Regions from separate parts of the Mus musculus genome. Here region 2 is reported to be linked to region 1. Evidence: microRNA targets listed by miRTarBase, many of them from high-throughput screens and not tested one by one. Region 1 holds a microRNA gene; the other region holds the end of a gene's coding sequence.

Region 1 (6,853 bases):
GTGTCACTTAGAGTATTAGAGATTATGCAGTACTTGGCCAGTGAGTGCTCTCAGTCTCTAGGTGAAAATGCTTGCTAGAGTTAAGAGTATTCAGGAGTTAAAACACATACTGACCTTCATGAGGATTTAGAGATCAGCCTGTGATTCATGTGATGGCCCCATGATTGTGCATGTGTATATAGTTGTGTGTGCATGTTCATGCATGTATTTGCATATACATAACATACACGTATAAACGCAAGCACACACACATAGAGACACAAGAATGGCTTTCATCGATCCCTTTGAATGATATGTCACTTAGCATATTAGAGATTATGCAGTACTTGGCCAGTGAGTGCTCTTATTCTCTAGGTGAAAATGCTTGCTAGAGTTAAGAGTATCAGGAGTTTAAATTCATGCTTATCCTCATGAGAGATCAGCCTGAGATTCCTCCATGTATGTGCATGTGTGTATAGTTGTGTGTGCATGTTCATGTCTATATTTGAATATACATAACATACACACACACGTATAAACGCAAGCACACACACAGACACAGGAATGGCATTCATTGACCCATTTAAATGATATGCCACTCAGAGTAGTAGAGATTATTCAGTATGGGGCAAGTGAGTGCTCTCATTCTCTAGGTGAAAATGCTTACTATAGTTAGGAGTATCAGAAGTTCAAATTTATGCTTATCTTCAGCATGATTTAGAGATAAGCCTGTGATTCATGTGATGCCTTAAGTGTACATGCAGGTTTGTATAGTTGTGTGTGTATGTTCATGTGTCTATATGGATATACATAACATATACATAGACATATAAACCCTAGCGTGCACACACACACACACACACACACACACACACACACACACACACACACGAATAACATTCATAGATCCATTTATATGATATGCCACCTAGAATATTAGAAATTATTCAGTACTGGGCCAGTGAGTGCTGTCATTTTCTAGGTAAAAATGCTTGCTAGAATCAGGAGTATCAGGAGTTCAAATTCATGCTTATCTTCAGGAGGATATAGATATCTGCCTGTGATTCATGTGATTGCCACCCATGTATGTGCATGGGTGTATAGTTTTGTGTACATGTGCATGTGTGTATATGAATAGACATAACATGCACATACATATAAACACAAGCACACACACACACAGAGACACAGGAATGACACTCATCGATCCATCTGAATGATAGGTGACTTAGAGTTTTAGAGATTATGCAGTAGTGGGACAGTGAATGGTCTCAATCACCAGGTGTAAACCACAGAGTCAGGAGGATCAGGAGTTCAAATCCATGCTTAATTTCAGTTGGAGATCATCCTGGTATTTCTGTGATGCTACCCATGTATGTGCATGTGTGCTTACTTGTATGTGCATGTGCATGTGTTGATATGAATATACATAACATAAACACACGTGTATATGCAGGCACACACACACAGAAGAAATTGCATTCGTCGTTACGTTTGAATGATATATGACTTAGAGCTTTAAGAGTATGTATTACTGGGCCAATGAAACGTCTTACTTACCAGTAAAAATGTTTGTTATATTCAGATGGATCAGGGGTCCAAATTCATGAGTAATTTCAAAATGACATAGAGATCAGCCTGACTTCACGGGGTTCCCCCCAATGTATGTTTATGTGTGTATAGTTTATGTGCATGTGCATGTGTGCATATGCATATACATATACATCCATACAAACATATAGAAGTAGCACAGATACACAGACACACACACACACACCCATCAATCATTTTGAATGACAGGTGACTTAGAGTTTTAGAAATTATGCTGTGCTGGGCCAGTGAGTGCTCTTAGTCAAAAGGTAAAAATGCTTGCCAGAGTCAGGAGGATGAGCAGTCAAAATTCATTCTCAACTTCATGATGAGTCTGGGATCAACTTCGGATTCATGTGATGCCCCCAATCTATTTGCTTGTGTGTATATGTATGTGTGCATGAACATGTGTATATGAATATACATATACATACACACATACCCATACAAACATGCATACAAACACACAGAAAATGGATACTCATTGTTCTATTGAATGATATGTGTCTTAGAGTCTTAGAGATTCTGTATGACTGGGCCAGGGAGAGGTCACACTCACCATGTGACGCCCCTTGCCAGAGTCAGGGTGATCAGGAGTGCAAATTCATGTTAACTGCGTGATGAGGTAGAGATCAGCCTGTCATTCATGTGATGGCCCCTGTGTATGTGCATGTGTGTTTGTGTGTGCGTACATGTACATGTGTGTATATGAATATACATATACATACACGCACACATAGATACGCACGCACACACACACACAGGGATGGCACTCATCAATCCATTTGAATGATAAGTGACTTAGAGTGAAAATGCTTACTAGAGTTAAGAGTATCAGGAGTTCAAATTCATACTTATCCTCATGAGAATTTAGAGATCAGCCTGTGATTTATGTGATTCCTCCATGTATGTGCATGTGTGTATAGTTGTGTGTGCATGTTCATGTCTATATTTGAATATACATAACATACACACACACGTATAAACGCAAGCACACATACACAGATACAGGAATGGCATTCGCCAATCCCTTTGAATGATAAGTCATGTAGAGTTTTAGAGATTATGCAATAGGGGACATTGAATGGTCTCACCCACCAGGTGTAAAAGATTGACAAAGTCAGGAGGATAAAGATTTCAAATTCATGCTTAATTCAGTTAGAGATCATCCTGGTATTCATGTGATGCCACCCATGTATGTGCATGTGTGTTTACTTGTATGTGCATGTGCATGTGTTGACATGAATATACATAACATAAACACATGTGTATATGCAAGCACACACACACACACACAGAGAAAAAATTGCATTCATTTATATGTTTGAAAGATATGTGACTTAGAGCTTTAGCAATTATGTAGTACTTGGCCAATGAAACTTCTTACTTACCAGTAAAATGTTTTTCATATTCAGATGGATCAGGAGTTCAAATTCATGAGTAACTTCAAAATGGTGTACAGATCAGCCTGGCTTCATGGGATCCTCCCCAATGTATGTGCATGTGTGTATAGTTTTGTGTGCATGTGCATGTGTGTATATGAATAGACATATACATCCACACAAACATATACAAGCAAGCACAGATACACACACAGGAATGGCACTCATCGATCCATTTGAATGATAGGTGACTTAGAGTTTTAGAGACTGCAGTAGTGGGACAGTGAATGGTCTCAGTCACCAGCTGTAAATGATTGACAAAGTCTGGAGAATCAGGATTTCAAATTCATGATTAACTTCAGTTAGAGATTATCCTGGTATTCCTGTGATGCCACCCATGTATGTGCATGTGTGTTTACATGTGTGTGCGTGTACATCTGTGTAAATGAATATATATATATATATATATATATACATATATATATATATATATATATATATATATATATATATATAACATAAACATACATGTATATGGACACACGTATGCACACATACACACAAGGAATGGAATTCATTGATATGTTTGAATGATATGTGATTTTGAGCTTTAAAGGTTATGTAGTACTGGTCAAATGAAAGTTTTTCTCACTATGTAAAAGCTTGCCATATTCAGAGGGGTCAGGAATTCATATTCATAAATAAATTCAAAAGAGAGTAGAGATCAGCCTGATTTTATGGGGTTCCCCACAATATATTTGCATGTGTGTATAGTTTTGTGTGCATGTGCATGTGTGTATATGAATATACATATACATCCACACAAACATATACAAGCATGCACAGATATACACACACACAGAAATGGCACCCATAGATCATTTTGAGTGACATGTGACATGTGACATGTGAGTTTTAGAGAGTATGCCGTGCTGGGCCAATGAATGCTCTCACTCACAAGGTAAAGACCCTTGCCAGATTCAGGATGATCAAGAGTGTAAATTCATGTTGGTTGCATGATGAGTTGGAGATCAGCCTGGCATTCATGTGATGGCTCCTGTGTATGTGCATGTGTGTTTGTGTGTGCGTACATGTACATGTGTGTATATGAATATGCATATACATGAGAGCATACATAGACACACGTGCATGTGCGCTTGCATGCGCGTGCGTGCACACACACACACACACACACAGAGGATATGTGATTTACAGTCTTATAGATTATGTAGTAGTGGGTAATGAATGGTCGCACTCATCATGTGTAAACAATTTGCAGATTCAAGAAGATCAGGAGTTCAAATTCATGCTTAACTTCAGCTGGACATCATCCTGGTATTCATGTGATGCCACCCGTGTATGTGCATGTGTGTTTACAGGTGTGTGCATGTGAATGTATATATATGAGTATACATGTACAGACACATGCAGCACACACACACACACGAATGCCACTCATTGATCCATTTGAATGATATGTCACTTAGCATATTAGAGATTATGCAGTACTTGGCCAGTGAGTGCTCTCATTCTCTAGGTGAAAATCCTTGCTAGAGTTAAGAGTATCCCGAGTTCAAATTCATACTTATCCTCATGAGAGATCAGCCTGTGATTCCTCCATGCATGTGCATGTGTGTATAGTTGTGTGTGCATGTTTATGTGTGTATTTGAATATACATAACATACACACACACGTATAAACACAAGCACACACACACAGACACAAGAATGACACTCATCAATCCATTTGAATGATAACTGACTTAAGAGTTTTAGAGATTATGCAATAGGGGACAGTGAATGGTTTCACTCACCAGGTGTAAATGATTGACAGAGTCAGGTTAATCAGGATTTCAAATTCATGCTTAACTTCAGTTATAGATCATTCATGTGATGCCACCCATTTATGTCGATGTGTGTTTTCGTGTGTGTGCATGTGGATGTATGTATATGATTTTGCATATACAGACACATGCACACACATGCGGCACACACACACACACACAAATGACACTCATCGATCCATTTGAATGATATGTCACTTAGAGTTTTAGAGATTATGCAGTTCTGGGACAGTGCGTGATCTCACTCTCCAGGTCAAAATGTATGCTGGAATCAGGAGTTTTAGGAGTTCAAATTCATGCTTAACTTCATGATGATTTTAAGATCAGCCTGTGATTCATGTGATTCTCAGCCATGTATGTCCATGTGTGTATATTTGTGTGTGCATGTGCTTGTGTGTATGTGAATATATATATCATACGCACGCACACACACACACAAATGCAAGCACATACACTCTCACACACAGAGGAATTGAATTCATCCATTAATTTGAATGCTATGTGACTTATTCTTTTAGAGATTATGCAGTAGTGGGACAGTGAACGGTCTCACTCGCCATGTGCAAACATATTACAGATTGAGCAGGGTCGGGAGTTCAAATTCATGCTTAACTTCAGCTGGACATCATCCTGGTATTCATGTGATGCCACCCGTGTATGTGCATGTGTGTTTACGTCCCTGTGTATGCACATGTGTGTATATAAATATACATACCATAAACATACATGTAAATGCAAGCACACAAACATGGAATGGCATTCATTGATACATTTGAATGATGTGTGACATAGAGCTTTAAAGATTATGTAGTATTGGGCTAATGAAACTTTTTACTCACAATGTGAAAAAGCTTCCCATATTCAGAAGGATTAGGAGTTCAAATTTATGAATAACTTCAAAATGGCTTAGAGATCAGCCTGGCTTTATGGGTTCCTTCCCAGTGTATGTTCATGTTGCATAGTTTTGTGTGCTAATGTATGTGTGCATATGAATATACATATAAATACACACAAACACATACACACAGGCACACACACACACACACACACACACACACACACATACACACACACACACACACACACACACACATACCCCGAATGGCACTCATTGATACTTTTAAATGACATGTGACTTAAAGTTTTAGAGATTATGCAGGGCTGGATCAGTGGGTGCTCTCACTCACAAGGTGAAAATGCTTGCCAGAGTCAGGAGGATCAGGAGTGGAAATTCATTCTCAAATTCATGAGTCCAGGATCAGCTTCGGATTCTAGTGATGCCCCCAGTGTATGTGCCTGTGTGTATATGTATGTGTGCATGTGCATGTGTGTATATGAATATACATATACATACACACATACCCATACAAACATGCACACAAACACACAGAAAATTGACACTCATCGATCCATTTCAATGATATGTGAGTCTTAGAGATTCTGTATGACTGGGCCACAGAGAGGTCTCACTCACCAGGTGACGCCCCTTGCCAGAGCCAGGATGATCAGGAGTGCAAATTCATGTTCACTGCATGATGAGGTAGAGATCAACCTGGCATTCATGTGATGACCCCTATGTATGTGCATGTGTGTTTGTGTGTACATGTACATGTATATATATATTGATATACATATAAATACATGCACACATATTCATGCATGCACACGCACACATTAATGGCACTCTTAGATCCATTTGAATAACATGTGACTTAGAGGTGAGAGATTATGCAGTACGGGGACAGTGAGTGTTCTCACTCATCAGGTGTAGACAACTGCCAGAGTCAGGTCTATCAGGAGCTTAAATGCATGCTTACACTCATGAGGACTTAGAGATCAGCCTGTGATTTATGTGATTCCCCCCATGCATGTGAACGTGTGTATAGTTGTGTGTGCATGTGTGTATATGAATATATATAACATCCACACATGTATAAATGCAAGCACAGAAACACACAAACATAGGAATGGTACTCATCGATCCATTTGAATGATATATGACTTAGAGTTTTAGAGATTATGCAGTAGAGGGACAGTGAATGGTCTCAATCACCAGGT
Region 2 (6,853 bases), not on the chromosome of region 1:
TGAGACTGTATTCTCTGTGGCCCTGGCCCAAGCAGTGGGGCAGTGGCCAGGGGCCAAGCTGTTGGACCATGTCTGTGTGGAGAGCAGAGTTCTGGGTAAGCATCTCTACCATCTCCTACCTCCGTTTCTTGGGTCTGGCTATCCACTGACCCATGTTCGCCCTGACCAGAGACATCTAGGAAGGAGATTAATCACACCCTTCCCCACTGTTCCTAAAGAAAGTCCCTCTCTTAGGGCTAGAGAGATGGTTCAGCGGTTAAGAGCACTGACTGCTCTTCCAAAGGTCCTGAGTTCAAATCCCAGCAACCACATGGTGGCTCACAACCATTTGTAATGAGATCTGGCCCCCCTCTTCTGGTGTATCTGATGGCAGCAACAGTGTATTTACATGAAAGAGAAAGAAAGAAAAGAAAGAAAGAAAGAAAGAAAGAAAGAAAGAAAGAAAGAAAGAAAGAAAGAAAGGAAGGAAGGAAGAAAAAAGAAAGAAAGAAAGAAAGGAAGAAAGGAAGAGAGGGGGAGGGAGGGAGGAAGTCCCTCTCTATATCTAACTTCCATCCCTACAGTCTCCACCTCTTTTCTTTCCTGATCTGTCTCATATTTAGAAGTCATTTGTAGGTTCCCCTCTATTCATCTCTTACCCCATTAAGCTTAGAAGAGGGGAGAAGTGAGGGTGCAGGGTGTCAGCCCTCGAAGCTGCCTTGTCCTCAGAAAGTCTGCTTTCCTGTGGCTTTATCCTCAGACTCCTGTGAGGGTTCTGCCCCACACTACGAAGTGTTTGTAGAGCTGAGGGGGTTGAGGAATCTGTCGGAGGAAAATCGAGACAAGGTAAATGATGAGACCTGGGTCTGATTCGAAGTCTCTTTTGCTCTACAAGCTCCCAGTTGTCATGGAGATGAGAGAGTTAAGGGAAGAGGATGGGCCTTAGGGAGGGGGCGGCACCCCCTTTCAGAGAATCTAGAAAGGAAGTATGGGTCCCACAACACACCAAAATCCTAAGTGCATGTGGCCTTGGATACGGTCATGCATATCCAGTACACATGCCACCGCATCGCATCATGGCCTTAACTCACTATTCTGCCCTTAGCTTGACAACTGCCTGCAGGAAGCCTCCGCACAGTACAAGTCCTTGCGATTCCGGGGCAGTGTGGGTCCTGCCAAAGTCCATCTGGTGAGGCCAGGGAGCTTCAGGGTTCTCCGGGAAGCACTGGCAGCCTTCTCCTCCTCCTCCTGCCGCCCTCCTGAAATGCCTCGGGTCATCAGGCTCAGGCACCTGGCCCAGCTCCTGCAGAAGAGGGTGATATCCTAACCAAGGCAGCCAGCCTTCCTGTTTCTGCCTCACTCTTTCCTCTGGAACATCTCTGGATGTTGAGTCCTGGACCAGATGTCACATAACAGTGGTCTGATTGGGTCCAATTGGACTCATTGGCAAGTTTTAAGATGCCGGCTTGGAGCACACAGCTGAACCCATCATCGATGGTCTCCCGTCAGCCTATCCTTCGTGAGACTGCTGGTCCTTCTCATGTGCTTGGCCAAGGTACAGCAAGGGCTGAAAGTGTAGGCAGTGCTCCTGGAGCAGATGAAGAAACCTCAGGCTCAGGGGTGGTGAGATGGCTCAGCAGGTAAGAGCACTGACTGCTCTTCCAAAGGTCCTGAGTTCAAATCCCAGCAACCATATGGTGCCTCACAACCATCCGCAATGAGATCCGATGCCCTCTTCTGGTGTGTCTGAAGACAACTACAGTGTACCTACATATAACAATAAATAAATCTGAAAGAAAGAAAGAGAGAGAGAGAGAGAGAAAGAGAGAGAAAGAAAGAGAGAGAAAGAAAGAAAGAAAGAAAGAAAGAAAGAAAGAAAGAAAGAAAGAAAGAAAGAAAGAAAACCTCAGCCTCATTGTTTCGTGGTCTAGGGTGTGTCTTGCACAACCACCTGAAGGGCTGAGGCTGTGGCCCACAGTGGCCCAGTGTTCAGTGCTCTTCTTACCAGATCCCCCCATCCCTCCATCCTCCTCTCCCCTGCTTACTCTATCATTCTGTTCCCTGGATCAACCCCCAAATAAAATTAAATATATATAAATATTAATGTATGTATTTTATGTTATCTGTGTGTGTCTGCATGTGTGCATGTGCACCACGCATATGTGAACGCCCTCAGAGGCCAGAAGAGGAGAGTGAATTCTCTGGAACTGGAGTTTCAGGTGGTTGAGAGCTGCTATGTGGGTGCTGGGAACCAAACCCAGGTTGTCTGTGAAAACATCAAGTACTTGGCTACGGAACCTGAAGGCTCTAGGCCTTCAGATAAAGCTTTCTTAGCCACCGGGCAGTGGTGGCGCACGCCTTTAATCCCAGCACTTGGGAGGCAGAGGCAGGTGGATTTTTGAGTTTGAGGCCAGCCTGGTCTACAGAGTGAGTTCCAGGACAGCCAGGACTGCACAGAAAAACCCTGTCTCAAAAAAACATAAAAAAAAAAATAATAAAAGCTCTCTTAGCCATATAGAGGACCCTGCTTTGGGGATGCCATGTGGGGTCCTCTACATGCTGCTTCAGCCACTATCTGGGCTCCCCACCAAAGCCCATCCATTCCCTCTCTATCCTGAGCTTCAGGGCCTTCACCTACTCTGCACACTGGCTTAGGTTTAGTCCCGGAATTGTGAGCATAGAGGAGGCCCTGGAGACTCCCACCAGGGTTTTCACAACCAAGTAGACAGATCTCCTCTGCCCTCCCATGCCAAGCACAGCTGAAAGAGCTGTTGCCAGCTTCCCTGCACTGGGTTCCTTCCTGGCCTGGCCTGGCCTGGCCTGCACAAATCACTTCCACCAGGAGAAAGGAGGAAACTATCCTTCAAGACACAAAGTGTCACAGCAGGAAGGAGTGTTGGAGTTACCTGAAGAGAGTGTCCATAGTAGTGAGGAAACTAAGTGGCAAGACAAGGAGACCAAGACCCCAGCTCCTCCCCAAGTCCAGATCAGGATCCAGCTTTCTGTTCTGGGCTCTTCCCTCCTCCCGTCTTCCTCCTCCTCCCTCTGCCCTCCTCCCTCGCCGGTCCCACATCAGCCTTTTTTTTAAATTTCTTCATTTATTTTATGGATATGATTACACTGTTGCTCCCTTTGGACATACCGGAAAAGGGCCATTACAGATGGTTCTGAGCCACCTTGTAGTTGCTGGGAATTGAACTCAGGACCTCTAAAAGAGCAGTCAGTGCTCTTTAACCACTGAGCCATCTCCCCAGCACCACCACAACAACCTCTCCCCCCCCATACACACACACACACACACACACACACACACACACACAGAGAGAGAGAGAGAGAGAGAGAGAGAGAGAGAGAGAGAGAGAGAGAGAGACCTGTCTTTTAAAATCCCCCACCAATGACTGCCCAGCCTAGCACACAAGGCCCTGGAAAACCCTATTCACCTTACCTTTTCCTTTAGCTCCTTTAGTTCCATAGAAACTGTGATGCCCACACCCCATCCCTCTGGAGCCAAGTACTGTAACATCCAAGCTTTTGTTCCGCGTTGTCCCTTCTCAGCCATACTCTGTCCCCTTACCTACCTAATGGAAGCTACTTTTCATCAAAGCCTTTGAAGGACCCTCTGCCCCACCCAGAAGGAAGTGTCTGTCTAATCTTTGCTGGTGTCTGGGTAGTTCTTGACCTGCTTTGAACTATCCTGGGCTCAGGCTGCACCCCACCCAGATTGACACCTGCCTTGGAGGAGGAGACCTGGAGGCTGGAAAGATGGTTCCATTAGAGCGCTTACTACTTTTTTGCAAAGGATCCAATCTTGGTTTCCAGTGCCTACCTGGTGGCTCACAACTCTCTATAACTCCAGTTCCAGGGGTTCCAAAACCCTCCTTTGGTAGTCACAGGCACCAGGCACATGTGCAGTATAGATCCCTCCACACTGGTAAGCACTCATACATATAAATCTAAAAATAAGAAAATTTAAGAAAATAGGTGGGCTGGGCGTGGTGGCGCATGCCTTTAATCCCAGCACTTGGGAGGCAGAGGCAGGTGGATTTCTGAGTTCGAGGCCAGCCTGGTCTACAGAGTGAGTTCCAGGACAGCCAGGGCTACACAGAGAAACCCTGTCTCGAAAAATCAAAAAAAAAAAAAGAAAAGAAAAGAAAATAGGTAGACACACAACTGTCCCTGCACCCATGCAGGACTGATCTACATCAAGGGCTTCTTTCTTCCTTTCTTTCTTTCTTTCTTTCTTTCTTTCTTTCTTTCTTTCTTTCTTTCTTTTTTTCTTTTGGGTTTTTTTTTTTGGGGGGGCAGGGTTTCTCTGTGTAGCTCTGGCTGTCCTGGAACTCACTCTGTAGACCAGGCTGGCCTCAAACTCAGAAATCCACCTGCCTCTGCCTCCCAAGTGCTGGGATTAAAGGCGTGCACCACCACTGCCCGGCTTTATCAAGGGCTTCTTAAAAGGACCCTGAAGGTGAACCCTGGCCTGGAAGTGGCTTGAGTCCTTGACCACCCACACCCTGTTCCATGGTGGCTCAATCCTGGAGATGGCAGAGTAAGACTACCCTCTTCTCTACTGGCCCAGGAGATGTCTACCCTTCATCAGCTTCTGAACTCCAGGCTTGGCTGCTCTCTCACCCGTGGCCCACAGTAAGTCTCCAGGACTTTCCATGGAGGAGTTTGGTGAAAGGGACAGAAGAAAAGGAGAGCTGGGGGGTGGGGTAGGGGTTGGGGAGTAGGGTGTCAAAAGCTGTTTCCATGGAGGAAAAGGCCCTGGAACCTGATGGACCACAGAGTCAGTGGGGGTGAGAGGGTATGCCACCCAGGTACCCTCCCTACCTTCAACATACCATAGACAGTAATTCTCAGACTGCCATTTCTGCCCCTAATTAGCAACTGTCCCCCCCCCCATTGTCTCCTTCCAGTGTCCCAGCCAAGGCCTCTTTTGTGAACTTAGATTCCTGGGTGCAAGGTAACCTCATTAGTACTCGGAAACTGCCCTATCTCCAAGGAACAGGCAGACAGACAAGCTGGGGACCAGGGACAGGGCGGCCATTCTTTGGGTCCAACCTGGAAACGGTTCCCCTGCAAGATGCTAATCTTAGACATGCCTTTGTCTGGTTTAAGGTGGACACACATACTCATGTCTCCCCCGCACACACACCTCAGAGCATTATAAACCCCTGGCCCCTGGAAGCGAGCCACTGAAGACGACGGCCTCAGACTTCTTGGGTATTTGGACCACTGCACTGAAGAGATCATCTCTCCAGATTACTTTCCCCTGAGCTCCAGGCACCATGAACTTTCCTTCTACAAAGGTAAAGAGCCAGAAACAGGGACATAAATCATCAGACTACTGAGGCCATGATAGTGCTTGCCGAGGACTGGGCTCATATGCTCTTTCTAGCGTGTAGCACTGAGAGAGGAGTATGGGTGGGTTCTTGGCAACCTGCCTCCTTGGTTAACACTGGGTACGCCATTGTGTGGGAGCTCACGTTTAATGAGTTCTTGTATTTCCGATGTTCTCTGTGCTTGTCAGTTATGTCTTGCACTCAACAGGGTAGTAGGGATGATTTTATGCCTGGTTTGTAGGTGAGGAAGGGCTATCCCAAGGGGGTGAGAAACTAGATCAAAGCCACAATGTACAGTTTCCCCAGCAAAGGAACAAACCTGCTGTGTGTGGAGGGAAGGGCTAGTAAGTTTGGTGCAGACAGACTTAGAAGCACCTGTCTGTGGGTGGAGAGTCAAGCCTTTAAATATGTTTGCACAGGACAAACTTCTTCTACCCCAGAGAAGCCTATGAAGGTTTCGAAGACGATAAGGCTCAGTTGTGTATTGAAGGATGAATTGACAAAGGAGCCAGCCGCAGGAAACCCAATGACAGCCTAGCAGGATCTATGGCAACAAGAGGTTCAGAGCCAACTGGCTGTGTGGAGTGAAACCCATTTGCACCTTGTCTCTGTCCCCCTTTAGGTTCCCTGGGCCGCCGTGACGCTGCTGCTGCTGCTACTGCTGCCGCCGGCGCTGCTGTCGCTTGGGGTGGACGCACAGCCTCTGCCCGACTGCTGTCGCCAGAAGACGTGTTCCTGCCGTCTCTACGAACTGTTGCACGGAGCTGGCAACCACGCTGCGGGTATCCTGACTCTGGGAAAGCGGCGGCCTGGACCTCCAGGCCTCCAGGGACGGCTGCAGCGCCTCCTTCAGGCCAACGGTAACCACGCAGCTGGCATCCTGACCATGGGCCGCCGCGCAGGCGCAGAGCTAGAGCCACATCCCTGCTCTGGTCGCGGCTGTCCGACCGTAACTACCACCGCTTTAGCACCCCGGGGAGGGTCCGGAGTCTGAACCCATCTTCTATCCTTGTCCTGATCCAAACTTCCCCCTCTGCTCGCCGCTGTCAGTCTCTTGGTAAATGGCAATAAAGACGATTCTCTGTTGGTGTGACTAATCTATGTTTCTGTGTGTCAAGTTCAGGCCTCCAGGGGGCGGGAAAGCATCTTGAGAATTGTGACGAGTCTAGGGCCTGGAAGCAGCTTGTGTTTCTCATTGCAAATACTTATTTGGTCGGGAAGAATCCAGCAAGGAACCTTGCAGTCCTGGGGTGTGTGCTACACATTTGGGAGGGTGGAAATGAGGTACCGATGTGCCCTCATGTTGTTCTACTACCTACTTTATTTATTTAGAAACAGGGTATCCTCGGTTGCCCTGGAAAGATCAGCATGACCTTATACTTAAATGACCCGATCTTACTACCCTCTATTTCCCCGGTGGTGTTGATACTGCAAGTGTGCTCCACCACGCCTCCTTTATGCAAATGCTGGAGGACTGATCCCGGAGCTTCATATATATTAATTAAGCAATCACTCTATCGACTGCTACATCC

What was found. The annotated mature microRNA mmu-miR-669o-5p reads UAGUUGUGUGUGCAUGUUUAUGU and lies in region 1 at 4,590-4,612, shown strand. An mRNA with a match to its seed (bases 2 to 7 or 8) in the 3' UTR can be bound and repressed. Matches are read on the target gene's strand: a 7mer-m8 pairs with bases 2 to 8, a 7mer-A1 pairs with bases 2 to 7 and ends in A, and an 8mer does both.
Region 2: the mRNA of Ghdc is a reported target of mmu-miR-669o-5p. Seed matches in the 3' UTR shown: 7mer-A1 at 1,732-1,738.

Annotation. Positions count from the first base shown.
Region 1 is chr2:10,509,729-10,516,581 of GRCm38, forward strand. It overlaps Mir669o (microRNA 669o), which reads left to right and starts at 4,572; the gene lies at 4,572-4,667. All of the region lies in intron 10 of Sfmbt2 (Scm-like with four mbt domains 2), which reads left to right. It overlaps Mir297b (microRNA 297b), which reads left to right and starts at 1,939; the gene lies at 1,939-2,047. Mir466d (microRNA 466d) reads left to right here and starts at 2,239; the gene lies at 2,239-2,334. It also overlaps Mir669m-1, Mir669m-2, Mir466n, Mir466g, Mir466h and Mir669a-2, and 2 more genes.
Region 2 is chr11:100,761,256-100,768,108 of GRCm38, reverse strand. Ghdc (GH3 domain containing) reads left to right here. Exons shown (of 9, transcript NM_031871.1): 7 at 1-95; 8 at 740-825; 9 at 1,085-1,777. The coding sequence ends at 1,306. Hcrt (hypocretin) reads left to right here and starts at 5,178. Exons shown (of 2, transcript NM_010410.2): 1 at 5,178-5,288; 2 at 5,944-6,416. The coding sequence starts at 5,268. The coding sequence ends at 6,315.